3 linked regions of the Drosophila melanogaster genome follow. Changing the gene in region 1 together with any one later gene gives a genetic interaction. Each region holds a gene or a part of one and is shown in the gene's direction. Other genes may lie near its edges.

What was found.
Region 2: of Lpt (region 1) and wds, changing one suppresses a phenotype caused by changing the other (phenotypic suppression), as found in Drosophila melanogaster (one study listed by BioGRID).
Region 3: of Lpt (region 1) and usp, changing one suppresses a phenotype caused by changing the other (phenotypic suppression), as found in Drosophila melanogaster (one study listed by BioGRID).

The regions. Positions count from the first base shown.
Region 1 is NT_033778.4:23,894,573-23,906,658, forward strand, and holds Lpt (lost PHDs of trr), read left to right. Parts: upstream 1-3,988; 5' UTR 3,989-4,097; coding exon 4,098-4,692; intron 4,693-4,751; coding exon 4,752-4,874; intron 4,875-4,938; coding exon 4,939-5,108; intron 5,109-5,171; coding exon 5,172-5,362; intron 5,363-5,419; coding exon 5,420-7,383; intron 7,384-7,447; coding exon 7,448-7,592; intron 7,593-7,659; coding exon 7,660-7,958; intron 7,959-8,019; coding exon 8,020-8,328; intron 8,329-8,386; coding exon 8,387-9,039; 3' UTR 9,040-9,089; downstream 9,090-12,086. Other genes in the region: Upf3, read right to left, coding at 1-45, 103-195; CG17658 (uncharacterized protein), read left to right, coding at 691-2,127; CG5339 (uncharacterized protein), read right to left, coding at 2,546-3,085, 3,143-3,427, 3,483-3,575; CG13562 (uncharacterized protein), read left to right, coding at 9,257-9,398, 9,463-9,669, 9,733-9,805, 9,858-10,033, 10,091-10,521; Nap1 (nucleosome assembly protein 1), read right to left, coding at 10,742-10,969, 11,033-11,221, 11,284-11,424, 11,488-11,956, 12,043-12,086.
Region 2 is NC_004354.4:2,581,385-2,590,786, forward strand, and holds wds (will die slowly), read left to right. Parts: upstream 1-4,595; 5' UTR 4,596-4,894; coding exon 4,895-5,165; intron 5,166-5,376; coding exon 5,377-6,002; intron 6,003-6,056; coding exon 6,057-6,245; 3' UTR 6,246-6,833; downstream 6,834-9,402. Other genes in the region: AANATL7 (arylalkylamine N-acetyltransferase-like 7), read left to right, coding at 1,656-2,342; CG13760 (uncharacterized protein), read right to left, coding at 2,908-3,011, 3,079-3,218, 3,283-3,551, 3,614-3,823.
Region 3 is NC_004354.4:2,035,755-2,043,918, reverse strand, and holds usp (ultraspiracle), read left to right. Parts: upstream 1-1,607; 5' UTR 1,608-1,872; exon of another isoform or gene 1,873-2,051; intron 2,052-2,274; 5' UTR 2,275-2,458; intron 2,459-2,532; 5' UTR 2,533-3,005; coding exon 3,006-4,532; 3' UTR 4,533-5,121; downstream 5,122-8,164. Other genes in the region: CG4325 (uncharacterized protein), read left to right, coding at 192-313, 506-860. UniProt on the Drosophila melanogaster protein: Receptor for ecdysone. May be an important modulator of insect metamorphosis. Plays an important part in embryonic and post-embryonic development. Binds to ecdysone response elements (ECRES) such as in the promoter region of s15 chorion gene.

The DNA.
Region 1 (12,086 bases):
GAACTGCGCCTCCGTCATGGTCGGCGGCAAATGCCGCATCACAATCTGCAATGAATGCATTAGTTTCGGAGGATCGTGGGATTAAGACAGTCTGGACGGTACCTTAACGATCTGATTGGTCTTGTCCTTCTTGTCCTTGCGCCTGCTTGCCTTGGACTTCTCCTTGGGCTTTTCCTCGGCAAAAGTTTCAGCCATTTTCTGTTCCTTTTTATTTACAAAAATCAAAACAAAGCCGAAAAGCCAACAAATGCAAACATGATGTGGAACCGATAGAGATGGCACTTTCGGCTCGAACTAGAAGAAATTCTAAAGTTCACAAGTGGAACCTATATCCAATTATTCTAGTAAAAAAAAATAGATTCTATCAAAGAAGTTAGTCACTTAGTTAGTTAGCCAAATATTAGGAAAGTAGAACTTGAAATATCTGTGCCATTTCTGGCAATTACGACAAGGCTCTGGTATCTAGATCTTTGGAACTAGTTCTTTAAATCCACATTGCAAGAGCGCTTTTTTTGACCGGTACGCAGATATCATGCTCAACTTTTAAACAGTTTCGACTGTTTTGGCACATTAAATGCTCGAATTGAATGAATAAAAGGAAACTTGGTCAAGGTAATGAGTAAATGGACATTCTAGAGAGCTTGACACATGATGCAGTAACATCGTTTTCAGGAATCTGAGCATTGCAAAATGATGGCGCCGGTAGATCCACCAGTGGGATCCTTTCTGAAGTGCTTCGTCTGCGTCTCCGATGAGGGCAGGACTTGGACAGAATTGATACAAGGTTTCACCAAGGAATCGGACAAGGTGGAAAAGAACCTTGCTCACCTGCAAACGCTTCTGGAGAAAGCACATGTGAAGCCCAGCGTGATATGCAGAGGCTGCAATATGCAGCGATACTGCAGCCTGTCCCATCTCGTGGCGGATCGTCAAGAACACAAGCCACTCTGCGAGGTGCTGAGGGATCTGCAGAAGTCCATGAAGATCGATCACCCGTTGAAGCTGCTCGGCCAAATCACCGATCGCAGGAAGCTTCAGCTCGTCATTTCGCAGCTAAAGATGGTCCTGCTGGCCAAGTTGGGCAGACCACTGAATCAGCGGGAGCATCAGCTAATCGGCAACCCAGCCGTGTGCGATGTGTGCTTCAGCACTGAAGCTCTCGAGGACTGTGAAGGATGTGCCGGAGTGGCCTTCTGCTCCGCGGCACACCAACGCCTAGTCAGGGGCTATCACACCCCGGAGGATTGCCAGACCCTGGCTCTGATTGCCACTCCGTTTCGTCAGTTGAACTGTCTAGTGAATATCAAGGACTTCTACCGCAGTTGCCCACTAAAAGAGTCTAATCTAATCAAGGCTTTCACCGAAGCCACCGACATACGGATCAGCGACACTCCTTGGACCGATCTGGAATCGTACCAGCTATTCGCTACCTGTTCCTCCTTCAGCGGCATCGCAAGTCTGTGCCTGGCCCTGTCGCACATTTCCTGGGTCCCAGATCCGAATAAAGCTGTCATAGTCTACGTGGCCGGCGCCACCGAGGACACTTTGCGCTACTTCGAGGACATGCACCTGCGTTTTCTGTTCCTGCAGTACCCAAGCATTCGTAATCTGGAATTACACTTCATTGGAAGAACCGTTGGGCGCATCGACCAAGTGGATATCAAATTCAGCGACAGGAGCTTTGAACAAACCGTGGTGAAATGCTTTTACCCCCTGTCATTTTCACAATATTCCTGTATTCTAAATGTGGATCCCACCTTGATTCTCATCATGCAACCCGATTTCTTCGGAGTCGGTAAAGTAACCCAGAGAATTTCTAGGTATATGAAAAGGAAGGTTCCACTCGAAAACGAATGGAAGCCTTGCTTGTCAAGTGTTATTCGATCTTTTGGTGTTCCCATTTGCTACACTTCGATTTCAAGGGCTCAGGCAATTTCCGATTTCGCGGCCATCACATTGTCCGCTGAGAAGAGCAAGATTGCCATCGAGAGAGCCTACAATATAATGGGCAATCCCTATCGTGAAATATTGCCACTGCACAATCCAGCACCAGAAGATACCGAGAGGATTGTGTATGCCAATAACTACCTCGAGGTTATTTTCACAAGCAAAAAAAAATGCCAATGACTACCAAAGACTATATAAGGCTTAGTTTAGTACACATAATACCTTCGACAATACTGACATTTGTTATTAAACAGCTGCTCGTCAAATACATATTCTAAGTTACCTGATTACTGCCACAAGTATCAAGTTAGATGCATTAAAACTACCCAAGACTGTAGAATAACTACAATTAGTTGATAATATCGAGAACAGTATTCAGTTTCGAACGCGGCTTTGAATGTCGCCCTTTAATTTAAACATGTTTGTTTATCCATTTACATTTTTGGTAATTCTTTAAGAATAAATTGTTTAACTAGTTGATAGCCTACATTTGTAATAAGTATAAATGCTCAGTTTCTCAATGCAGCCACTTAACTCTACGAGGAAAACGGTTACAATAACTTCAGAAGGGTTCTTTTTAGGATGTGGAAGCTTTGATCTAGAATGTCTTCTTGGAAATGACAACAATTAAATCGATTAACCAATAGAACGACTGGTGGAGATCACCCTCGCACAAGTACGGCGCCTTGGTCCATGCCTCCACGCGGTAGCCACAGTTCTCCAGCAGCTCCATAAACCTGGCCGCCTCCTCCTCGAACGACGCCTGTCGCCCGTTGTTCTCCAGCAGCGGGCGCAGCGGCAGATGCGAGGTATTCGTCTCCACGTAGTGCATGTAGGGAAGTACTAAGGCCACAACTGCTCGACCATTGGGAGCTAGTGCCAGGTGAATGTCCTCGAGCAGCTTGAATGAATCGAAGCAGCGGTCCAATACGTTGAGGCACAGAATCAATTCCAGGTTCTGCAGACCGTCTATCTCGGTGATTACGTTGAAGTTCAGCTTCTTCAGCCGATCGCGCATGGTCCAACTGGCCTCGGTGGCGAAGACCCGCAGCCCGGCACTTCCGCTCAGCTCGGAAACGGTGTTGGCCACGCGCAGCGAAATCTCACCGTCCCCGGCTCCGATATCCAGCAACGTGACCTACGATATGATGGCAGATGAGTAGTGGTCAAGACTAAAGGCTTTTACTCATCTTACAGGTTCTTGACCGCTGGCAGGCTGAAAGCCGCCTGCTACTAGCAGCTTGCGAAACTGTTCCTCGGACAGTATGAACATGGAGCCGCGCTTCAGGAACCCGTTGATGTCCGTCTGGGTCATGAAGAACTGCAGGATTGAGCGAGCCAGGGCGTGCCACAAGTGGGTCCAGATGTTTGCCGAAAGCGCCTTGGTGCGCTCCAGCCAGCTCACGGTGGTGGCATCCGGCTCGAGCGGCACGAACTTGGACTGGAATCTCGGCGGCAGCTCGTGGTTCAGGCAGTACCACTGAAATGCATCCAGAATTTAGGAAAAATCATATTGTTTCGGGATTTCGAGTTACCTTCCGAGTGTCTATGTCCTCCAGAGAGTTGTCGTTGTGGAATTTGGCGTGGATTACCCTGGCCAGGGTGCCGCGGGGACGATACACAGCCATGCTAACAGAATAGTCTATAATTGTGCTTTTATTTACATTTTCTACTTCTGTGTGTTTAACTTAGTTGTGCCATCATTTTTCCAGTTTGAAGAACTGGAGTACGGTATTTTTCCAGGGCTGGATTGCAGAGTTGCACTTTGATCAGCTGAATGCGATTGGTAAAGGTATATCGATATGTAGGCGTGACAGCCTAATGTAAGTGTATTATTATTTATAATGTATAATTTCAGAAATTAATTAATTAATTTGTAGCCGCATAAAAAAAATTAAAATATGATGTTATATTTGATTTGCCATTTAAAAGTATAAATACTTTGTAATATAAGGAAGACTTTTATATTTATATCTAATAATTGTACTACTCGCTCTGCAAACGAACGCACATCGTTCTCGACAACATTGACGCCTGTTCGATAACATTGGGGCGCGATGCACGTTGACATTTTATTTAGCTGTCGAGTAATGTATACAAAATAAGCGGCGGCTATTTTTTGTTATTTTAATGAAACGCATCAATCCGCGATGAGCACGAACGTTGTTGTGAGCATGGAGGAGAAGGCGGTGGCCGACGACCTGCCGTACTTCCCGGAGAAGTTTCCGGGCAAGGTGTGCTGTTTATGCAATCTCGGCGAGAAGAGTGCCTTGGGCCAGGGCGAGATTCTACAACTGAAGGCGCCCGCGCCCGCCGAGATCAAGGATAAATATCCGACGGATCGGCTGAGGGAGGACGGATCCAGGCTGTTATACGGGCCTAAGCAGGCCGCTTCTAGTTCGGGCGATTGTCACTACGAGCTGGACAAGATTGGACAGCCGGACGTCGTGCATCCCGCCGAATTTCTTGACGAGGGGTTCGTCTACGTGCACCGCATGTGCATCATGTGGTCGCTGCGCAAAAGTCAGATAAGCGATGCAGATGGCGCGTACTTTGCCACCCACTTCGCGGAGTTCCTGGAGCAAAAGTGCAACTTTTGTGGACGCTACGGGGCCTCCATCAACTGCAAGATGAACTGCCGCCAGGTGCACCATTGGCCGTGTGCCGCCGCTGCTGGGTGCCTTCTGATCCTCGAGAGCTTTACGGTCTTCTGCACGGAACATTTGAGCCAGGTGCCTGTGATATGTAAGTGATTCTTGGGCAGCAAACTCTCACAGAAACTAATGGAAACAAATGACTTACAGGCAGCGACAATAATGTGGAGTGTCTGTCCTGCTCCTCGCTGGGGGATCTGTCCAAGCTGATCATGTGTAGTACCTGCGGAGACCACTTTCATTCGACCTGCATTGGTCTGGCCAATTTGCCGGGTAACTACTGTCAAGTACCATCGTACCATTGGTTTACATGTTTACATGTTTAATGCTTCCATAGATACGCGTTCTGGGTGGAACTGCGCCCGTTGCACAAAATGCCAGATTTGCAGGCAGCAAGACTCGAACGACACCAAGTACGTTAAGTGTGAGCAATGCCAGAAGACTTACCACGCCTCCTGCTTGCGACCAGTTATCTCAGCCATCCCCAAATATGGCTGGAAGTGCAATGTAAGCAGATATTGACGGATATTAAGTGTTATCCAATACTTATGGTATTTATGTTCCTTCTAGCGCTGTCGCGTCTGTACGGATTGTGGTTCAAGAACTCCTGGCGGCGGCAGCTCCTCCCGCTGGCATAGCCACTACACAATCTGCGATTCGTGCTATCAGCAGCGGAACAAGGGCTTTTCCTGCCCGATTTGCCAGAAAGCGTACAGGGCAGCATCGCACAAGGAAATGGTCAAGTGCAGCTGGTGCAACAAGTACGTTTCACTCGCTTCTGCCTGATTAGTCTTGCTTATTATATGGATTCGTTTCAGATTTGTGCACAGTACGTGTGACGAAGAGGCGGATTTAACGGCCTACCACAAGAAGAAGGAGCAAAACCCAGATTACGACTACGTGTGTCCGAATTGCAAGAGTAATTCGTCGGGCCCGGGATCATCCCAACAGACAATCGACTCGATCGTGCTGTCCGCCATGGATTCGTCGTCGGAGCAACTGAGCCTCAAGGAAATCGAACTTGACCCGCTGGAGGGCAAACCCACAATGGATCCATCGAGCGATGAGCTCCACAAGCTACCCACCGGCAAGAAAAAAGTGTGCCTTACGAGTGTTCGCGGTAGAAGCGGAAAGTTCGTCCTACACCGCATGGGTGTGATGTCGCAGATCAACAAGAAACGCAGCACCCGAGGCAAGGGGCGCCAGCTTGCGCTGCCCACCATCTCGAGCGATCGCTGCCTGAGTCGCAGCATGGAAACAGATCTGACCAGCGACAAAAAGCTGCTGCTCTGCTCGGCGCGGGATAAGTTTATCCAAGCGCAAGACATCTGCGTAATGTGCGGCTCGCTGGGCATTGAGAGCGATTCCGTGATGATCACCTGCGCACAGTGCGGCCAATGCTATCATCCGTACTGCGCCGGCGTGAAGCCTTCGCGAGGCATCCTGCAGAAGGGTTGGCGATGCCTGGACTGCACAGTGTGCGAGGGATGTGGCAAGAAGAACGACGAGGCGCGCCTGCTCCTGTGCGACGAGTGCGACATTTCGTATCACATTTACTGTGTGAATCCTCCGCTGGAAACCGTGCCCACGGGCAACTGGAAGTGCTCGTTCTGTACACTGTGCCAGAAATGCGGTCGCAATCCCACCGAGAAGAGCGAGTTCGGGGACTCCAACATGCTCGAGTGCCCATCCTGCACCAGCCAATCCTCGTGTCCCGTCTGCAAAGTCTCGTACAGCAACGGCGAGATGATCATCCAGTGCGAGCACTGCGAGCTATGGGCGCACTTCCACTGCGACTCTGTCAATGCCCAGCTGACCATTGACCACTACGACAACAATGTGTACAAGTGTTTCAAGTGCCGCTGCTCGACGAGGAGCACTAACTCCCTGGCGGATGCCAAGTTTGGTAACGAGGATTCGCTGGCCATAACTCCCCAGGGCAGCAAACCATTTGTGCACATCACAGCCTCCTCCGGGCCGTCTTTCGATTCTAAGAGTGGTGCCGAGCGAAATCATCCTACCTTATCCGGCGATATGCCCGAGTCTGCTCCAGAAGCGCTCCACTGGATTGACGGAGTGTGCCTGAGCGAAAGCGGATTGGGCATGATCAAGTCATTGTCCACGGAGATCAAACGCAAGCGCAAAATGCGACAAGCCCTCGGCAATGGCAAGGATGGACAATTGGAGGCCGCCGCCGAGGAAGCGCTGGAAAAGTACAAAGACGGCATGGTCTGGGATGGGACGGAGAACGCTATTCCCGAGGGTTTCACCATCTCCATTAACGACGAGGGAGTGAACATATTACGCAAGAAGCGACAGCGCAATCTGCAGAAGCTGGGCATTGGTGGATTCTCCGTTCGCAACCGAGGTCTCAAGAAGGACAGCGAGGAGACGACGGCCGTTGACCAAATAAATTCCCTTATGACCATGGACAAAAAGAAGAAAATCATACGAAAGAAGCAGAAGAACAAGCTGATTGAAGCCTATCCCGTGTACTTGCAAGAGGCCTTCTTCGGAAAACCTCTGCTGGAAGGTGGAGAGCTTGTCATGGCCGATACAGATTCCTCTGACGAAATTGATGCGTCCATGAAGGTTTACTTCACGCGGCCCGAGGGCAAGAGTCCTGCCAACCAGGACACACTGGCGGTGAACAAGAGTCCAGCGAAGACCGTGAAGAAAGTTAAAGCTGAGTTGAAAACTGAGAACAAAACTGTTTTCATTCAGCAAATGCCCATGGGAATCCAGAACAAAAACGGAACGACGCCAGTGTCTAATGTTTTTGGTAAATGTTTAACCAACCCACTGACCACTTTATTCCCAGGTTGTATCGTTTACCATTTTTGCAGATCCCTTGCAAGCGGAGATTTCGAACACTGTCTTTGCTAACCGGCATCCTTTGGATGCGTTGGCTTCACCAAATGTTCCGGAACTGGACATGGCTAACTCTGTTAGTACGGTTCCATCAGCTGAAGTCATTGAAAAACCAATGCGGTGAGCCTCATGTCCATATGCCAGTCTATTCTAAGCTTATTAATTTGTTCTTTTTTCTTTCTCAAAGGGAATCACCTGCGGTCCTGGTCGACAGTTTCATGGTCCCCAACCAGTTGCCACAGGAACAGAAGTTTCACAATCAGCTATATTTGGGCGGAAATACTTTGGTTAATCCCGCCCAGCAGCTTCAGTTCCGTCAGCAGGCACCACAAAATGCCAATAAGCAGAATATGCAAACTATAATGAGCCAAGTCGTTTTGCAAACCGAAAAGAGACCAGAGGAGGAGCAGAAGGTTGTGGAGCCCGTGACGGAAACCCTGAACGCTGGCACTCAAAAGACGGCGGAGAAAATGCGCAAGGATGAGGGTATGAGGGTGCATTTAAATAGTGTAGGATTCAAATGCTCATCACCCCATTTGTTTTGCAGATCTTGGGCTCATGGCCACCATTTCGGCCGTGCTGTATGCCAATACTGAGCATCCCAACCTGAAGGAGTTGTTTCCGATTTGGAACGACCGCTGCAAGCAGATTCTGAAGAGGTGGCGCTCGCTGTGCAACGAGAAGAAGGCGCCGTTCTTGCAGAAGGCCAAGGACAATCGCTCAGCACTGCGGCAGAGGCGGGAACAGAACAAAATACCTATGCCACCGAAACCACAGAAGCAGGAGGAAATGGGAAGAGTGTGGAAACAACCGCCCAAGCTGAAGGAAGACCAGCCGAACATGTTTGTCACGTACAGTAAGTGCTGCAGCTCAAGACTTGTTTTAGTTGCTCTAACCCTTGTTTTTTCGTCTAGATGGAAACGCCTACGATATGGGCAACTATGTTGGTGGCTCGGCGCAGGCAGCGTCCAATAATCCCAATCCGCATCACGTGATGCCGAACGTTAACGATAATCTGGTGATTAAGGCCACGATGCAAAGGACTCAGGTGCACACGACAGCAGCCAGCACCTTGAAAATGACCACCGTGGACAATAGGCTGGAGTTGAACACGGCGGTGTACGGCACGGAACCCATTGGCGACAAGAAGCTCAGGAACCTGCTGCAGAAGAACAGCACGGAGCCGATGCTCATGGGGGCCAACTCGGACTTGTTCTTGGGCAACGATGTAATGCGGCTGGGAATGATGCAGAACACACCCATTACGCAGAACAATCCCATGCTGAGCATAAGTGGAAAATCTCAGCCATCTGAAGGCAGGTCCTTGGAGCAGGATGTGAAGTTGGGCGAGCCGCAGGAGGCAACCTCTTCCGCCGTGGAGTTGGAGAATGTCGGATTCAGCGACCTTCTGGGAGGACTCGGCGAGGGCGACGACGACGACCTACTCAAGTCGCTCACTTCCGAAATGGGAGACGACTTCAATATCCTGGAGTACGCGGACCCAGAACTGGACGTCAATGTTCTCAACTCCCTAGATTTTGATGACAATGAAAAGTGCTCTACATAGGAGAAGCGGAATCGTTTAAATTGAAATAAAGAAAATGCAATATTTAATAGAAAGCGCCACTTTTGAATGCAGCCTCTTTTGGCGCCAAACCCCATTCTTCATCGATTGCCGTATACCATATCGAATTTGTATCTCTTCGGCACAGAAAACTGGTTTTCTACGCGGTTTGCACTGTTGTTACTTTTTATTTTCAGCTAACCATCCAGATGACCAGATAATGCAGTTGTTCAGTAGTTTCCACTCAATCCTAATTGTTTGCTGTGTTCTCTTAATTGATGGAACGCACTCGAAACTGAATCTTAAATATGCCATTTTGAGGCAAAAGCAAGCAGCAAAGGCAACGCAAAATGACACTTTGGGTATGGATGTGGGAGAAAGTTTCTGCTGGACGAGCGTATCATGTCGATGTTTTTGTTTATGAAGCCCACCAGCAGAGAATCAAATATGATGCCCAGAAGACCATGAAGGTGATGTTCTACAAGAACAACACCAAAACCATGGAGACTTCGGCCTACGACGATGCCTACGATCTCAGTGGCTCGGGTTGCTCGCCCACGGACAAGTTTGCCATAGTTCTGCATGGATGGATCCAAAGTTGTTCGGACGAGTGGGCGCTGTCGCTTATTGAAAGTGAGCATTTTTTGCATTTTTTTCAATGCCAAAGTTGAAAGCTACTCGAAATATGCATTTTAGGACTCAGTTACTACCGCGGCGGATGCGTGATATGCATAGACTACAGTGTGGTCGCCAGTTCCTCGTACATGCGGTGGGTAGTAGTAGTAGTCTGACCCCAAATTCTCATTATCCGACTTTTAAAGGCTGTACACAAACTTTGACACCCTCACCGGCGCCATATCGTCCATTATCCTAACACTGTTCAGGCAGGGATTCGATCCAAAACGAGGCTATATGTTTGGCTTCAGCTTCGGCGGACAACTGGCTTCGGCGGTGGGAAGATCCCTACGGCCACACCACATTATCGAGAGCATAGACAGTCGGTATCTTGAGCGTTATCTTAGCCACACCCAGTAATTATTGTATTGAACTGCAGCGTGCGATATGGCCGGACCCGGGTTCGATCCCATTGCAGTCGACCACTCCAAGGCCGGCAAGCATGTGCAGTGCTTCCACTCGAGCCGCGACAAGGGCACCTTCGTCTACTCCTGCCACCGCAACATAATGCTCGGCAGCTGCGGCCTCAAGCAGCCCTCGGTGGCCAGTCAGCTTCACCTGGGCAGCCATGGTCTCTGCGTCGACATATACATCAACACGTTCGACTATCCCTTCTACGCCGTGAACTACACACCGCCGGAGTGCTTCACCTGGCAAAAGACGGCCAAGATACCAGATGGCTACACGGTGGGCTACGAGGAGAACTTCGACAGCCAGGTCACGGGGCAGATCTTCGTGCCCACTAGCCTGCACTACCCCTACAACTTGTCCAAGAAACAGCTAAAGCTGCTGACCAAAGGCGGTGCTTGACTGAGTATTGGGAGAAAACACTTGGTTCAAGAATAGCAACCTCAGGAGGCTTATGTTTTTTAAATCAAAGTCAACCATATTCTAATATCATGTAGGTTTATTCGAGTTCAGCTCATATCGTTTGTAATTGTTGTTTTTATTTTTATTCACCAAAAATATATTTCAAATCAAATTTGAATTATGTATATACATTACACATGTGTAATCCAGCCACATCAACCTACTGATTCGGGCAGTCGTTGGGCGACTGCTTCTTGATACCGGCTGATTTGGGGCCCTTTGGTGGCGGTGCATCGTCGTCGTCGTACTCATCCTCCTCGTTCTCGTCATACTCCTCTTCGTCCTCATCGTCCTCATCGTCGACGATGTCGCCAGTGTAGTAAAGCACTGCTTTTGGAATAATTCTGGCGCGCAAGAAGTGACCAATTTCGAAGTCGGTGGCCAGGATCTGCGAGGAAGCGAACACGGATGAGCAAGTGGCCTTGCGGAAACTGTTGTTGGGTGAGCTTACCTGCTGGGAGTCGTCGTCGACTTCCTCCTGGTCGCTCGGGACCTCTGGTGGGCTGAAGAAATTGAAGAAGGAATCCGTCGGAACCTGCTTCACAATGGTGCGCACTGCGCCGCGCTCCTTGTGCTTCTGCTTCTTGCGGATGGTCTTCACAGTAAGGTTCATCTTCTTCTCCCAGTTAATGGTGCACCCCTGTAATTGGTTTTGTTTCGATTAGAAATCCCTTGTTGCCCTCGAGAGTGCAGATAGCTCACCGTGCACTTGTAGATCTCTGGGCCTTCAAATGCGAACGGATCGTTGGGATCCACGGTGGACTTCAAAACGTACTGCTTTGTGAGAACTGAGTTGGAGAAGTACTCGTTCTTGTCGAAGTGAAACTCCAAGGTGTACGAATGCTAATGAATAAAGAAGCGGTTTAGACGGGCAGGACTACTAGAACTATTGGCCAGCAAACTCACCCCGTTGTCGTACTTGATGGAAATATCGATTAGCTTGCGGATGGCGGGCTCGTCGTGCGGCTGCACCATCTCAGACATTATGGCCGTGTTGCGGAACACCGTCAGCCAGAAGCCGGGAATGCCCTTGGCATCCTTGGGAATACTTTTCAAACTGCTCAGGGCCTCGCGGAAGTGCTCGGCATCGGCCTCGTTGTCGGTCGACGACTCCGGTTCCTTCCACTGGGGCTTCTCCTCGGCGGGGTCCACCTTGCCCTCGATGATCTCCCTGCGCTTATCGAACAACGGCTGGTACTGCACCTGGTACTTCTGCTCCAGCTTGTAGACGTCCTCAAAGAACTGGGCCTCGATATTCAGGTGCTGCAGCTGTAGGTTTTTCAGGAACACAATCCGATTCTGCACTGGAGCCGGCAGCATCTTGACCATTTGCTGCAGATACTGTCGCCGCATGACCGAGTTCATGTAGGCGGGCCTGAAAAGTGGGTTGTGTGTGTCATTCCCCTGATTTTTTGCTTGCTTTCGCTTGCCAAAATGTTGCCACCCCCTCTTTCTACTCACATCGACTGGCAGTCCGAGCCGGACTTCTCGTCCTCGATTTCGTT
Region 2 (9,402 bases), on another chromosome or scaffold:
GTCTTTTCAGCACTTTTGTGCAGAGCGAGAAATTATTGAAGATTCAGAAACTATTACCAAGTAATTCGACTATTTTATGCATCGGATTGGTTTCGACTTAAAAGATAGAAAGATTTCTTTTCAGTGCAGTCCAGGCCACGTGTTCGCCACAATTGGTCATAGCAAACTGGGCTGATAATTAATGAACGTAATGAATATGCATAGCAGGGAGTTAGTTACGCGGCGAGAAAGGTCAAAGTGGGTGGCCATTTTTGGTCAAGCAACAGTTGGTGTCTGTCTAGACTTCACGATGAGGCAAGGTCATGCTGACTACCTAGGAAATTCGTCTTCATACCATGTACATACACATATACATAATAGTTATAACATATATCAATTTAGAACATATTCAACACCCTATTTTTGAGTCGTAAGCGACAACAACTATTCATTCCGCCTCTCATATTGTGCCATATAATCAAAGGATAACACGGGTTGCCCCCTCACTTACTTAATGGTGGTAATGTCACGTTCTCGTCCTGGTCGAGAGTCAAAATCTGTATATGAGTGCGGCTCACATTGTGCGGCGGAATCAACAGTTGGTGCGTATACCACACGTATTTTTCGTGGCGCATTTGGGGCGGTGGAAACTCTCGATTTCACTGTACTTCGGCACACAAGTCACGAGCAGGCGGCAATCGCTCCCATTGCTCCAGTGTGCGTATGTTGCGTATACGCATGGCTGTCACTCGAAGGATACGAGCTCCCCGCTCCCTGTCCATACTTTAATTTCAACCCATCCCAGAGGATAGCATTTTTCTCATGCTTCGGCAATGAGGCAAACACGAGGGCGTACACGCAGCGAAAATTTGAAGTCAATTGGAGTGGTTTGACCTACAAATAACGTGTGAAATACTATTGAAACCCAAAGGTTTTTAGAGCTACACTTACGTGGAATGCGAAGTAATTTCAATTTTCATTGGTTTGCAGTTAGAAGTCTAACTTGGTCTGAGTATTTTCTCGATGTGTATTAACGGGATGCTGTCGCTGGCGCTTCGCTTGGTCGGCTGCTCCAGCTGCTCCAGTCGCATTTCGCATCTGAAAGCGCCCGCAAGTAGGTTACACATTTTTTCGTCGAGCAAAACAAACAGCGCACCTCTGCCCGCCGTCCAGCTCATCCGATCCCGATCCCATTGGCCACAGACGAACTGAGTAAGTGGAACTAACTAACAAAATCCAGCACCGAAATCGGTTGGCCACGGATGACACCGCTTTGGTCGCGGTGCCTGGGATTAGGTGGGCTATTCTCGCAGGGGGGGTGGCATTCGTTGGGGGTGTGTCATTGGGGCAACACAAAGAATAGTGAAAGTGCAGTGGGAGCGAGCGAGAGGCAAGAGGTCGAGAGTTGAAAGGACAGGCAGAGAGTTGCGACTAATTGAGTTATAGGAAAAGAGTACCCACATGTATGTACCTAGACTTTTGCAAACGAAAATTAAAATTAAAAAAATTAATAGTGCTTAAATGTACGGTTGTAATGTAATGCGTACTTACCATTCGAATTTAGTTTATATTTTAAATCATCGAGATCTATTAGTAATAATATTATTAATAAGCTCCTCCCATAGATCTTCTTTACCATCCGCAGACAATTCGGCGATTGCAGCGGCTGTGACACCATGGAGTACAAGATGATTGCACCGGAGCACAGTGAACAGGTGATGGAGCATCTGCGGCGCAACTTCTTTGCCGACGAGCCGCTAAACAAGGCCGCCGGCTTGTGCCAGAACGGCAGCAGTTGCCCCGCCCTGGAGGCGCACTGTGCCGAGGCCATACAGCACCGGATGAGCGTGATGGCTGTGGACGCAAAGGAGAAGGATACCTTGAAAATAGTCGGCGTCGTCCTCAATGGCATCCTGAAGCCGGGCGACACGGCCAAGGCGCTGAGCAAGCTGGACTGCAACGACGATGCAGATTTCCGCAAGATTTTCGACTTGCTGCACAGGCACAATCTCAAGCACAATCTCTTCGAGCACTTCGACGTGGACTGCATGTTCGATGTGCGCATCCTATCGGTGGACTCGTGCTACCGTGGCCAGGGGATTGCGAATGAGCTGGTCAAGCGGTCCGTGGCGGTGGCCAAAAAGAATGGCTTTCGCCTGCTGAAGGCCGATGCCACCGGCATCTTCTCGCAGAAGATCTTTCGTTCCCATGGCTTTGAGGTCTTCTCGGAGCAACCCTACAGCAAGTATACGGATGAGAATGGCAAGGTGATCTTGCCCGTGGAGGCGCCCCACATCAAATTGCAGCAGCTCTACAAGGCGATCTGCGCGGATGACCAGGATGAGAAGAAGCAGTCGCTTTAAGGAGTCACCCGGCTGGCTCACATTTGGAACAATAATCTCATTTATTTTCTACATATACATACATTGCATAATCGTTATTGGAATGTTTTCGTACTACAAATATGGAAATTAGTTGGGGGGCGTTTAACGGAAAGTTAAAGCTAGGGAACAATTACTATTGTTCTGTGTTTAAACATAACTATGAAATAACATTGGATTTTCGGACTTTCCGTCGACGGTTTTTGGAGCGTCAATGGAACGCCTCTATAATGTACGAGTAGACGCTGCCTGGCACGTTTACATAAATATAATTTTGTAATTGTTTTTTTTTGTATGGGGACCAACTGCTAACAATACCTAAATAAAGTACACTGTTGTGCCAAAGTTAACCAGACAGCTTTTTCTCTTACCTCCCACTCGAAGTCCCCCCCTACAAGGTCTCCTCCTAAAGTCCTAATATCACAAGCGCAGATTCCAATCATCCGTTCTCATCACCTGGCAACCTGGCGACGGCAGGTACTTCTGTTCATCTGTTCATCAATTCATCTGTTCATTTGTTCATCTGTTCCGCTGGTTTATCCATCTACTACTCCCTAGTTTCCTTCTTCTCGTATATGAAAATGATGTCCTCGTCCGTGCCGTAGGCGCGTCGGGCCGTGTCCATGGACTCGATGAGGCAGCGACAAATGTCTGTGGAACGCAGCCAAAAACGAAAATCAATGAATTTTCAAGGATTGCTACCAAATGGAATACTCACGGCCATCGTGGACCTCGGGATTGTGGTAGAAGAGCTTCTGGGCGGCCATGTCATATCCGCAGAGCACCACATAGTGTCCGGCATACCTTTTGGGTCCATGGAGGCGTGTATTTTGAGCAATGCAGGGTATATGAAAACAGCTTTTCATTCGAGTGTGGATTTAAGGTGGTTTTTTGTGAATCGCCGGTGGCAAGAGGAACTCACCCGAACTTCTCTAGGACATTGCGCTTGCACACCTCGCACGTGAGCAGCGAGGCGTTGGTCAGCAGGATGACGGGTCCGTGGCGGGCCAAATGCCGCAGAATGACCTCCATGTCCACGGTGCGCTGTTCAACGCGCAGTCCATGGGCCCGGGCGTCCTTGAACTTGCGCGTCACGCGCCGTTCGTCCTTGTCGATGATCTTGGAGTAGTACGTGTGCTGCGCGTAGTTGGGATCGATCCCGAGCGTTTGGGTGAAGTACTCGTGGCGCACCTGGCCAAGAAGAGAGTGTCAAAGAAGTGAGCGAATGCAAATGTGCATCACGGCATGCCCACCTGGTAGCGCATCAGCAGATAGCACAGGTCGATGGTCCAGGTGCTCGAGCCAAATCCCTCCTCGCCGCACACGGCATCAAAGTTCCCAAGAAGCTGTTCCCTTTGCTGCGCCGACAGGATCATAATGATGCAGGACAGACCGCAGTCCCAGTTGTAGCGCTGCTGGTAGTGCGTCAGGTTGTAGTGCTTGCTCGGCGGCAGTCCGTTCATTCTGGCCAGCAGCTGGGCTCTTCTTGGCTTCTTGTGCTCCTCGGGTCCTCGAGTCCTTGGCTCCGTGTGCTTCGCGTGCTCCTGTGCCCGCGGCTGCGCTCCTTTGATCCTGGCGTCCAATTGGAAACTGAACTGGGAATGTTTTGGTCTAACAGCTTGGGCCAGTGTGGCCAGGTGCAGCTGTCTGCGGAATGCCAACTGTCGGCTATGTCCAGTTGAAAAAAATGCCAATTGAATTTTTTTAGATATATATTGTAAATATTGTAATTAAATAATATTTATACATAAATTGTGAGTCGCCAAAGGAGTTAGATGTATTTTCCTACAAATCTTGGTTGCTGCTAGGAAATTTTTGGTTTGAAATCTTAAAGGCGCAAAAAATGTTCTAACACTATGTAAATCCTTCTTAAGCCCTTCAAAATTGACAGTTCAGTTAGAATTACCTGCAATTTTAAGACTAAATAACTACTGGCAATTGGTATAAATTTAAATGCAACTGTACGCGAAACTTCAAACATGTATGAAACGATCTGGCAACGTCGAGCTAACTGCATGCAATTTGGCATCGATGTGCCCGATGCACTCCCCCTGATAGTTTCAGCGGGAAACTAAGAGTCCCATTCTAGAATCATCCCCCAAGGACGAAAACATCCCAAATCTCCCTAAAAAAAAAAACAAAAAGCAAGGAATCGAGTAAACACGTTCCACCACCGCTGTGGCAATCCGTGGCTGGTGCGCAACGGCCACACTGACGCGCTGACCAATTTTTAGTTATTAGTGTGACCTTAAGCATTATTATTTTCACGTGTGGCACGCAAACGAGCCAAAAAACCAAGCGCCTATTTAAACAAACAAATCACACGCCCAGCAGAGAGAGCAGCCGGTGACCACCGGTAACGGGAGTAGCTGCAGTTAATCCGACAGGCCCAACAAATTCGCCCGCTAATTGGCGGCGTTTCTCTAGTCGGAACAACAAGAAGAAGAAGCACGTGTGCGGCGTGCCAAAGAAAAAAGGAAAATAAACAAGGAGGCCAGGCCAAGGAGCATAAGCAGAATCCGCATCCGGAGGACATGGTGCCCATCGGAGCCGTGCACGGCGGCCATCCCGGCGTAGTGCATCCGCCACAGCAACCACTGCCCACGGCGCCCAGCGGCCCAAACTCGCTGCAGCCGAACTCGGTGGGCCAGCCGGGGGCCACCACCTCCTCGAACAGCAGCGCCTCCAACAAGAGCTCGCTATCCGTCAAGCCCAACTACACGCTCAAGTTCACGCTGGCCGGGCACACCAAGGCGGTGTCGGCGGTCAAGTTCAGTCCGAATGGCGAGTGGCTGGCCAGCTCCTGTAAGTACATACATCCCTATCCACGAATATCTGGGGGGGAATTTTATGGTACTGAACTGCTATTGGACTGAACAGGCAGCTTTGGCAGCTCAGTTAATGGGAATTGGGATGAAATAAGATCTCGGAAAAGAGAAGAAGCATTTATAGAATACATATTGTACATTCCATACATACAGCACATGCCTATTAAACTTCCACTTCTAACCCTCAGCCGCTGATAAACTAATCAAAATCTGGGGAGCATACGATGGCAAGTTCGAGAAGACCATTTCGGGCCACAAGCTGGGCATCAGCGATGTGGCCTGGAGCTCAGACTCGCGACTCCTCGTGAGCGGCAGTGATGACAAGACGCTCAAGGTCTGGGAGCTGAGCACCGGGAAGAGCTTGAAAACTCTGAAGGGCCACAGCAACTATGTGTTCTGCTGCAACTTTAATCCGCAGTCCAATCTGATCGTCTCCGGCAGCTTCGACGAGAGCGTTCGCATATGGGATGTGCGCACCGGCAAGTGTCTGAAGACTCTACCCGCCCATTCCGATCCCGTTTCGGCGGTACATTTCAATCGCGACGGATCGCTGATCGTGAGCAGCAGCTACGACGGCCTCTGTCGCATATGGGACACGGCCAGTGGACAGTGCTTGAAAACCCTGATCGACGACGACAATCCGCCCGTCAGCTTTGTAAAGTTCTCGCCCAATGGCAAGTACATTTTGGCCGCCACGCTGGATAATACGCTCAAGTTGTGGGACTACTCGAAGGGCAAGTGCCTGAAGACGTATACGGGTCACAAGAATGAGAAGTACTGCATATTCGCCAACTTCTCGGTGACGGGAGGAAAGGTGAGTTCATATCTTATGCACATTTAGGCTTTAACTCACAAGCGTCCATTGTAGTGGATCGTGAGTGGCAGCGAGGACAACATGGTCTACATTTGGAATCTGCAGAGCAAGGAGGTGGTGCAAAAGCTGCAGGGACACACCGATACCGTTCTGTGCACCGCCTGCCATCCCACGGAGAACATCATTGCTTCCGCGGCGCTCGAGAACGACAAGACCATCAAGCTGTGGAAGTCGGATACATAGAGTGGCTGGTATCCAGCTGGAGGACGTTCGATCGGAACACACACATACATTTCTTGGATAATATTATTTTAAAGCGAACAGCCTAATCGTAATTGTAACACCCCCACACCCCCCCACCACGAGCCCCCTTTTTTTTTTGTACGCATAATTTAAAAAAGAAAAGGAACTCTAAAATTCTACGTTTAAATCACACTTTAAACCTCACATTCTACGGCAAAACGGAAAAATTACAAACAAACAAACAAAAACAAAAAAAAAAAACAACAAAAAGTGAAAACAAAAAAAACGATTAATGTATAAATATTTATTAGCCTATTGTATTGGCCCACCATGCAAGCGAGAATATTCCCCCAAAATTGTTTGTAACCTTTGACACAGCCACGCAAACCAACATAACTTATAATGATCTTTCGGTGACGAGAAAACTAAATTTAAGCGTAAAAGATACAACAGGTGCTCGGGGCAGAATCCCAGCGCCAGAAAGAATATATATAAAATACGAAATGTAAATTTTGAATAAAAGAAAACACCGTCTCGGCGGCGCCCAAGTGTCCTTTCAACTTGCGCGCTTTTCGAGGCGAGACACTTAAATGTACAAATTGCATTTTATTCACATAATAAGAGAAGTTTTAATTCTAAAAAAACATACAGTTTAGCAAAATTACGAAACAAACGAACCTTCATTACGGTTTAAAAGCGATAATAAGTACGTTTAATATATTACGGTTTTTAAATGAATGAACACAGGTATAATACTTAACGTAGACGTTTTCTTTAAGTTATTTATTTTTAAACTCTAGCGCCTATTGGAGTGCGACCCTGCGTTGAGTTCGGTTGAAGAGGGCCACACTGCCCGTTCAGTTTGAACGTTTGCCACTGGATTTCGACAACGGCGCGCGACGGTCACTTGGCGAAACGAAAATCGAAAAAACCGACGAATCGAAACTCGGAGATCACGGATTCGATTCACTTGATTCAGAACCTTGCCGAATCCGAATGCCCCTGCGATGCGCGCGCCAACCCGCTGAACAAAAGTCGCCAAGTGAATTTTGCAATTAATTTGCAAATCAATATCGCTCCGCCGCCGTCGCGCACACACACACACACGCAAGCACCCGCACCGCGCACACATACACACACACACACACACATAGGGACCGCGACACGCATAGTGAGAAAGAAGTGGCAATATAAGCAAAAAAAAGAAAAAAAATACAACGGTCGTGGGAAAATCGATTTTCCTTTTAAACAAATCGCTGTTAGCTTGAGCTTTTCCAAGCGCCTCTGCTGCAATTCCTTCGTTTTTTTTTCCTGTGCAAAGTACGCCGAGAGAGCGGCGTGAACCGGTGCAGAGAGAGAGAGATTAAGTGAGAAGGGGTGAGAGAGTGGAAGAAGGTGTTCATTGGCAGAAAATTAGCAAGGCGACAAACGTTTATAAATATAAACACATATATTCCAATATAAAAATCGCAAATATTAATGACGAGACAAGAGCGCCTGCAACAACAGCAACAACTGCAACAACAGCAGCCCAGCAACCAGGGATTCTAATTCGAAAATAACCCAAACAAATCCAAATCGGCGGGAGCGACAAGGAGGAGAGGAGAGTGCTAAAGAGAGGCGCCAACAAAAGTGTATCATTTAGGAGCGGCACACCCAAGAACGCGGAAAACTCCCGCCCACCCTCGCCACGCCCCTCGCCGACCAGCACACCCATTACCAATACCAATAACAGCAATAATAACAACAACAACAATAACAACAACAGTCTGCAGTGAAGAAACGCAGAGGAAAAGACAGGCGGAGACAGATATAAAACCCAAACATTCGGACACTCGCTCTTCTTCTTCCCAATCCGTTTTGGCATGGAAAACATGGTGAGCAAAGAAAAGCAAGTTGTTAACTTTTCAGGGGCGTAAATCGACAGGGGTTAAGCGCTAATATTCATCGAGCTAAATGTCCGCTTGACGAACTAGTTTAATGAGCTTAACTACCCAATTATTAAACCCATTTAACTGCGCCCTTGGCTAGCCACCCCCCTCACTTTCGACGCCCTTGGACCGCCTATTAGCACATTTCGGTTAACAGCAGTTGTTGTCGCCGTGTGTGTACATATGTGCACAGTGGCGGGCAAGAAAGTAGGTCCTAAGTACAGAGATTTCCAATAATTGCGAGCAGTGTCTTAACTACTGTCCTTACCCGCCCATGTCCTTATTACTTAAGATGAGCAGCATTACCAAATCAGACATTGACAGTACTTTAGTCTTAGACTTTGCATCACAGCCGTGTCTGTTTGGCGCACTGCTCGCGTGTTTTTGTGTAATTTCGCTCCCATGTGGCAATGTGACCTGTTAACTTGGAAAGTTACCCGGTGGATCTCGTGACTCTCGTCTACATCCAATATTCATAGCCAGCGGCGAATGTCCTTGAGCAAGGGGTTGGCCCCCATTTTAACCCCCCGATGGGCGCAGCAGGGCGTGCGCCTAACCCTTATGCCGCCGCTCCCTCGATGACGTACAGTCAACACGGCGATTGAAAGAACGCAGGATGTTTATGATGCTTATGATGCTTATGATGTGCATATGTGCATAACATAAATATATATTCCCAACGAATCCATTGACTACTCAGCGATGCAAACAAAGTTAGCAACGTATTTAGGGCGCAAGAACGGTTTCCGTTGAACGGAAACGTTGACTTTAGCAAACAATTGGGATTGTATTTCGGTTTCAAATAAACATACATAAAGTAGGTTTCCAAGATTCTTAGGCCCTAAGCTAGGTGATACTTTTAGTAAACGTTGATAAACACGAATGAGGAGCAACGACCATATAATGTCCTCCTAAGACAACGCCAACAGCAACTTGATCCGCTGCACTTTCTGTCGAGCTGCTGCAGATAAGGAGAAATGTAGGCTTTAGCTGGTAAACAAACTGGAAAACAGTAGAATGTGGCACACCTTTGTGGCGCGCTTACTTTGCCGACGAAGGAACTTTCCGTTTAGCTCTGGCTACTATATTTGCCATTGTGTTTACTCGGCGGACTGCTCTGTGCAATCCAGTTGTCCATTTGCCCTAATCGAAGGGGATGGGCCAACCGTTTGCATGGCCCCTTTTGTAACTGCCGGCCACATTTTACTTGTGGCCACCATAAGCGA
Region 3 (8,164 bases), on another chromosome or scaffold:
TGACGACAAGAGGAGGACCGAGTGGAGTGTACTGTGGCTGCCTGGACGCTTATCAGCAAAACGCTCGATTCAGCGACTTGCATTCATTCAGTCCCCTGTCACCGGCCGAGCAACAATACGGCACAGGGAGATCGAACCTGATTGGATCGGAGCGAATCGAATCGACCTAGGTATAAGTCAACCGGAGCGGAATGGGCCGTAACAACGTCATCTGCACGATCTGCTCGGAGCGGTTTCGCACCTCGGACAATATACAAGCCGGCAGCTGCGGACACGCGTTCCACGAGGACTGCCTAGACCACTGGAGAAAGCAGTAAGTAAAAGTGATCCTAAGGACTTGAGAGCTATAACGAAAATGAAATGTGCCACTGATATAATATTCTAATTTATGCACCAATCAGAAATGAAAATGATACAAAAGTGATTTAAATCAGTGGCAGTGCCCCAAATCTTATCGCCGAGCTCAAACGTTTTGTCTTATACGCGGATTCCGTCTGCTTTGCAGATCAAGGACTTGCCCTATCTGCCGCAGCCAGGATGCCGCCTACTTTCAGCTTTATCTGGACTTTGAGGAGTTTCCGGAAAGTGCATCGGCTCAGGGTGGCAGTTGGGGCGGCCATAATCGGAGCCAAGGTCACAGCAGCAGCAGCAGCAGCTGCAGCAGCAACAACAACAACAGTAACGACAACAGCAGCAGTGACGATTATATTGGAATTATGAGGGAGTACGAGAATCTACTTTACGAGACGGGCGTGTACCGAGAAGAGATCGAATATCTTAACCAGCGGATCGGAGCCCTTACTGTCCTCAATGCTGAACTCAGCAAACTACATGAATGTTCGGATTCGGATGTTGATTAAAAGCCGTAAACAAACAAACGAGTCGCATTTGCTTATCGTACTATTCGCCTGAAAACCAATCAAAACCGAATATTTGCGAAACCGACAGGCAAAACGTAATAAGGCTGAGCTAAACAAAAGAACTCGATACATTTCATTATAAAGGAAGCGGTAGGTACAGGGTTAGCAACTAAAGGGTTTGACAAGATAATAGACCCAAATAGAAATAAATTGTTTAGGGCTGAGGCCCCAAATTGCGATATCAGAAAATTAAACTGATAGAAAATATCACATATTAGTGTATTTTTTGTATACCAATAATCAAATAAATATTAAGAATATATGTCCTGAATGTCAATTTTGATGTGAAAACTCTATTTCCATTCCCTTAAACTGTTTTAAAATAAGCTTCTTAATTTGATAGTGTTAAGCAAATTTTTTTCTATATAAATTTTGAATCTCCCATTTTTGTTCTAAACCGGTATCGAATTTTAAGGCAGATGTTAGGGTGCTCTTGAATTACTGAATCCCTGCTTCTTGGTCATCGCGGAAATTCATTTTTTAGAAATTTACTGCGGTCTAACTATCGCATAAATATATAAAATACATAAATATCCATGACGGATTAATTTTCAGATTTTCTGACCATTAAGCGAAGTGGAAACAGCCTATAATGTGCCATTGTTTTTTACCGAACCAAGGCAACTCACCGCGACAGTATACTCACCACAGACAAACCAGTTCTTCGCCCCCCGCAATCGCTTTCTCACCACGCTGTCAGCTGTTGTTTCGCGAAATGCTTCTTCTTGCGAATGCCAATTACCGCGTCGCGTCTCTTTGTGATGATGGGATGGACTCAATTACTACAATTACAATAGAGATTGCAACAAATTAAATCAGCGTCGTGTGGTGTTGTCGTGTCAGTGACGTGCCTGTGTGTGTGTGTGCTCGCGAGCACTGATAACTGATAGCCAAGGAAAAAAGTAAATAAACAACCGTCACCTTGCGGCGCATCAAAAGCCACTGGCTGCAAGTAAGTTGCACTTCCATTTGCATTTCGCCCAATTCTGGTTCCGTTTGGTCTTGGGATTCACGGTTCAGCAGCCTAACCGCTCGATTCTCGGCGACGGCGTTTGCGATTTGAGGCCGAGGTTGCCGCCGGCAGCGGTGAAATTGGCGCACATTCACGTCTCCATTTTGCATTTCTATTCTGCATAATTGCAGCGGCGCTAAATTATTTGTGCACTGTGTGGTTTGCAAGGCGGTGAGGAGGGGAGCCAGACTGACTCAGGGTTGCATGCGCCGTAGGTGCGGTGAGTTTTGCAATGGCGCCGCCAGGGCTGTCGCTACTCCCGTTTTCTGGTTTTCGACTAAATTAATTAATTGATTGATTGCGCATTGGTTATCAAAGTAAAAACACTTATTTTTGCGGCAGGTGCGATGGGCATTAGCGCTTTAATTGGGTCATTAACGCCCACTTAAAACTGTTTCTGTGAGTGGGAAAACAGCCCTGTCCACTTTGTGGTGAATTAGAGATGCGATTGCGCCCAGTCACGAATCCGTGCTTCAATTGGGAGACCGATATATGTACTTATGTCGTGCATTAATTAAAAAGAGGAGTATGTAATTTTATAGATGCGTTATATACCATATGACTTAAGGTAATACCATCGCCGTTGTTAATTTTATACAGTGTTTAACAGTCGTGACTGTGACTCGTGACGACGCAACCTGTGTCACAGTCCATCCCTACGTTGGTGAGTTGCGTCGCTGTGGTGAGATTGTCTTTGTTGAGAAAAAATGTCGACGCGAAAAAAGGTATTTATTCATTAGTCAGAAAGTCTGGCATTCTTTGTTTGTTGGTAAAAAGCGCAATTGTTTGGAGGCGAGCGAATAAAGTGCGCTGCTCCATCGGCTCAAGATTATGTAAATGCAGCAACGACCCCACCAACAACGAAACTGCAACCTGCTCCACTTGGCCCAACGGACCAATAGCGGACGGACGGACACGGTGGCGTTGGCAAAGTGAAACCCCAACAGAGAGGCGAAAGCGAGCCAAGACACACCACATACACACGAAGAGAACGAGCAAGAAGAAACCGGTAGGCGGAGGAGGCGCTGCCCCCAGTTCCTCCAATATACCCAGCACCACATCACAAGCCCAGGATGGACAACTGCGACCAGGACGCCAGCTTTCGGCTGAGCCACATCAAGGAGGAGGTCAAGCCGGACATCTCGCAGCTGAACGACAGCAACAACAGCAGCTTTTCGCCCAAGGCCGAGAGTCCCGTGCCCTTCATGCAGGCCATGTCCATGGTCCACGTGCTGCCCGGCTCCAACTCCGCCAGCTCCAACAACAACAGCGCTGGAGATGCCCAAATGGCGCAGGCGCCCAATTCGGCTGGAGGCTCTGCCGCCGCTGCAGTCCAGCAGCAGTATCCGCCTAACCATCCGCTGAGCGGCAGCAAGCACCTCTGCTCTATTTGCGGGGATCGGGCCAGTGGCAAGCACTACGGCGTGTACAGCTGTGAGGGCTGCAAGGGCTTCTTTAAACGCACAGTGCGCAAGGATCTCACATACGCTTGCAGGGAGAACCGCAACTGCATCATAGACAAGCGGCAGAGGAACCGCTGCCAGTACTGCCGCTACCAGAAGTGCCTAACCTGCGGCATGAAGCGCGAAGCGGTCCAGGAGGAGCGTCAACGCGGCGCCCGCAATGCGGCGGGTAGGCTCAGCGCCAGCGGAGGCGGCAGTAGCGGTCCAGGTTCGGTAGGCGGATCCAGCTCTCAAGGCGGAGGAGGAGGAGGCGGCGTTTCTGGCGGAATGGGCAGCGGCAACGGTTCTGATGACTTCATGACCAATAGCGTGTCCAGGGATTTCTCGATCGAGCGCATCATAGAGGCCGAGCAGCGAGCGGAGACCCAATGCGGCGATCGTGCACTGACGTTCCTGCGCGTTGGTCCCTATTCCACAGTCCAGCCGGACTACAAGGGTGCCGTGTCGGCCCTGTGCCAAGTGGTCAACAAACAGCTCTTCCAGATGGTCGAATACGCGCGCATGATGCCGCACTTTGCCCAGGTGCCGCTGGACGACCAGGTGATTCTGCTGAAAGCCGCTTGGATCGAGCTGCTCATTGCGAACGTGGCCTGGTGCAGCATCGTTTCGCTGGATGACGGCGGTGCCGGCGGCGGGGGCGGTGGACTAGGCCACGATGGCTCCTTTGAGCGACGATCACCGGGCCTTCAGCCCCAGCAGCTGTTCCTCAACCAGAGCTTCTCGTACCATCGCAACAGTGCGATCAAAGCCGGTGTGTCAGCCATCTTCGACCGCATATTGTCGGAGCTGAGTGTAAAGATGAAGCGGCTGAATCTCGACCGACGCGAGCTGTCCTGCTTGAAGGCCATCATACTGTACAACCCGGACATACGCGGGATCAAGAGCCGGGCGGAGATCGAGATGTGCCGCGAGAAGGTGTACGCTTGCCTGGACGAGCACTGCCGCCTGGAACATCCGGGCGACGATGGACGCTTTGCGCAACTGCTGCTGCGTCTGCCCGCTTTGCGATCGATCAGCCTGAAGTGCCAGGATCACCTGTTCCTCTTCCGCATTACCAGCGACCGGCCGCTGGAGGAGCTCTTTCTCGAGCAGCTGGAGGCGCCGCCGCCACCCGGCCTGGCGATGAAACTGGAGTAGGGTCCCGACTCTAAAGTCTCCCCCGTTCTCCATCCGAAAAATGTTTCATTGTGATTGCGTTTGTTTGCATTTCTCCTCTCTATCCCTTATACCCTACAAAAGCCCCCTAATATTACGCAAAATGTGTATGTAATTGTTTATTTTTTTTTTATTACCTAATATTATTATTATTATTGATATAGAAAATGTTTTCCTTAAGATGAAGATTAGCCTCCTCGACGTTTATGTCCCAGTAAACGAAAAACAAACAAAATCCAAAACTTGAAAAGAACACAAAACACGAACGAGAAAATGCACACAAGCAAAGTAAAAGTAAAAGTTAAACTAAAGCTAAACGAGTAAAGATATTAAAATAACGGTTAAAATTAATGCATAGTTATGATCTACAGACGTATGTAAACATACAAATTCAGCATAAATATATATGTCAGCAGGCGCATATCTGCGGTGCTGGCCCCGTTCTAAATCAATTGTAATTACTTTTTAACATAAATTTACCCAAAACGTTATCAATTAGATGCGAGATACAAAAATCACCGACGAAAACCAACAAAATATATCTATGTATAAAAAATATAAACTGCATAACAAGATATATGGTCGTTTTATCTGCGGATCTGCGATTAATCCCATTGTCCACACAAATATATGGCTTTATTTGCGTATATAAGCGGTGCGTTTCAGGACTGTAAGAAGAAATCGAGTGACTTTCTCGAAGGCGGAAATGTATATACATCCATGCCTATTTGCGCGGATGTTTCAATATTTCAGTTTTATTATTATAAATCATACTATGTTCTGTTCCGCCTAACAAGTTTTGTATTACTAGTTAAATTAGTTATTCTGCCGGCCCCTTGGGTGGCTTTCTTTTTTTTTTTAATATATCTGTGATATAATTAGGTGGAGGTAATAAATAAAGTTCACTGCGGAAACTCTTCGAAAATAGCCAGTCTAAATTTAATTCATTTCATTCAAAAGATGATCCCAACGATTTCACGATCTTGTACTTATAATGTGTAAAATGTTAACCAACTAGAAATCCCTTCTATTGTGATTATGAAAGGATCGCTTTTCGCTTTCGAACCGCACTGTACGCCTTGTTCGCGTCCCCTAGGCATTGATTTTTGGTTTGTGGACCATCGCCTGATGGTCCCCACTCCTCACCTTGATGTTGCGGCCTCTCAGATGGCATTTGGTCAATTTTTATAAAATTTATGTCTCAGCGGGAATGTATGTTAGTATGTATTTACAAAAATATGGTATTAACGCACAAGCAGCGACTAAGAATAGATATTGTTTTTGAAAAAAGAACAAAACTCGCCGCTGACGACGCACATTATGTTCTATAAATAGCCAAATTGAGGCTCTATCTCTTTCTATATCGTTGTATCTTATCTGTATATCTCGCCCCAAAGGAATATCTGTAAATTGGGACAAGTCGACGGATACAATACTTAGCCGTCGGAGATCCTGGCTATTTAACATGAACGTATTCTCAGATTCTCCATTCACACAAATGATCTAGAGCTTTTGAAAGCTCCCACACAGAGTGAAAGAGAGGGGTAGAATGTTAGAGAGAGACGGCAGTGTGTCCACACTTATTGTGGGTGGTTTTTATTGGTTTAGCTAATAGCTATCCTTGATTTTGTGTGTGGCGAGCATATTTAATAAATTTCATAAATTTCATCTCTCTCCACCGACAAGAAGAAGCCCACACAAATAGTCCTATGTAGCAGCGTGTTAAAAAATGTGGAATGAAAAATGAAATGTTTCGCACGGAAAAACCATGAAAGCATGCCAATAAAATCATGTGTCCCCTCCCCTCCTCCTCCAAATACCCACCACCATTTCCTTCGACGATTTGCGATTTCGTGTGTGTATTGGAAAAGAGTTTTCGAAGCGAAATTAACAATTTGCTATTTTCGTAGTTATGCGGGGGCGTTTGCCAAAGACCCACGAGGGGACTATGGGTGGATGCTGTCTGAACCGCGGAGACTCGCTGACAGACGAGGAGAAAACCAAGGAGGTGGGGCGTCAGACGCGCTGACGTAGGGGCCAACAAGTTGTTGTCGTCTTCGCATATCGCGCACAGCATACGCCATACAGGGTGCCCCTTTTGAGCTCTCTTACTTTCTTTGCGTTACTTCGTGTCGCCTGCAACTGCATTTTCCTACCAATTTCACTAATGGGCGTCCGTCCGAGAGCTCTCTTCGTCACAGCCGCAGCAAAAGCAAGGGGAGCAGGCAGCACCGCAGCTGCAAATGAGCAAAAAGCAGAAAGAAGGAGTTCGGAACTGGCGATACCCATTGCTTTTAGAAGACAGTCCAATGGCCAGACTATTTGGCTCATACCCAGGTCCTAATTACCTGATCGTTCAACAAACTCATGTTCAGGACATTCGTACATATACGTATATTCATCATAATCAGAATGTATCGGAATTGTGTTGATTTCTAAACGAGACGAGTGAAAGTCCACGAAAGCAGCATGCCCGCACTTCATCGTTCAACTAAAGGGTCCCACGAATCGTACGCTTATGCTGGCCGAATTCATACTTTCTTCTGCCACCCACTCCCACTCCGGCACTCTTGCCGCTCCACTCTTCGTGACTCGGATGTTCGCATGTTCGGATGCTTGGATGCTCGGATGCTTGGATGCTTGGATGCTCGGATGCTCGGATGTTGGGGTCTTCGGCTATGGCAAGCGATCCAAACTGATCCGATTCGATCCGATGCTCCCGCTGCACGGCAGACTTTTCTTCTTCCTCTGCGACGGCTGCTGTGGTGCGGTGGGCGATGTGGGGCAGGTGGGTCGGATGGGGGGGTTGGTGTGGTGTGTGTTGGTGCGCCGACGGCAGCGGCGGTGACTGCGACTGCGACGACGACTGCGACGGTATTCAGAGTTAGCAGCTGGCTGGCGCGACATCAGTTTTGAGTTGGCTATCAACGCGAGCGGGTCTTTCTCTTCGCAAGCGACACACGTAGATATTGCTCCAATTGCTGTCCACACAGATTGTTTTGTTGTTTTTGTTTTTGTTTGGTTCGACTACACACACACGAGTAGATATAGATATATATATGTGTACATATATATATATCTGGCTAACCGACTCACTTGCTTTCGTTATACTCTATTTTCTTTTTTTTTTGGGTTATTTTTTTGTACTTGTTTGAAAAATAAATATAAAAACGAAATATTAAAAAAAACGAGCAAAGCAAAATATAAGTAACGAAAACTGTGCATGTGTGTGAGGTGTGTGTGTGTGTGCGTGCGATGGTTATATATGCCAAACCACATATATCTTTATATATATATATCCGAACAATATGTGCGTATATATGATCTATGTGGAGAGTCAAAGTGCTACCAATAAAAAACTAGACACAATAAAAGGAACGAACCGAGAGTATATCGATCTATATTTACCGGATCAGTTCCGATTTCCGATCCGAATTCGCGCTATTTCTCAAAATTATTTCAAATATGTACCAATCCCGTACCGTCCTTCTCCGCCCCCGGCCCGCCCACTTCCCTTCGCTGCGTTGACGTTGACGCCGAAAATAAAACTTTTTCAAAACATACTATTTTTAACCGATACGATACGATACGAAACGGAACGAGCGCGGAAAACA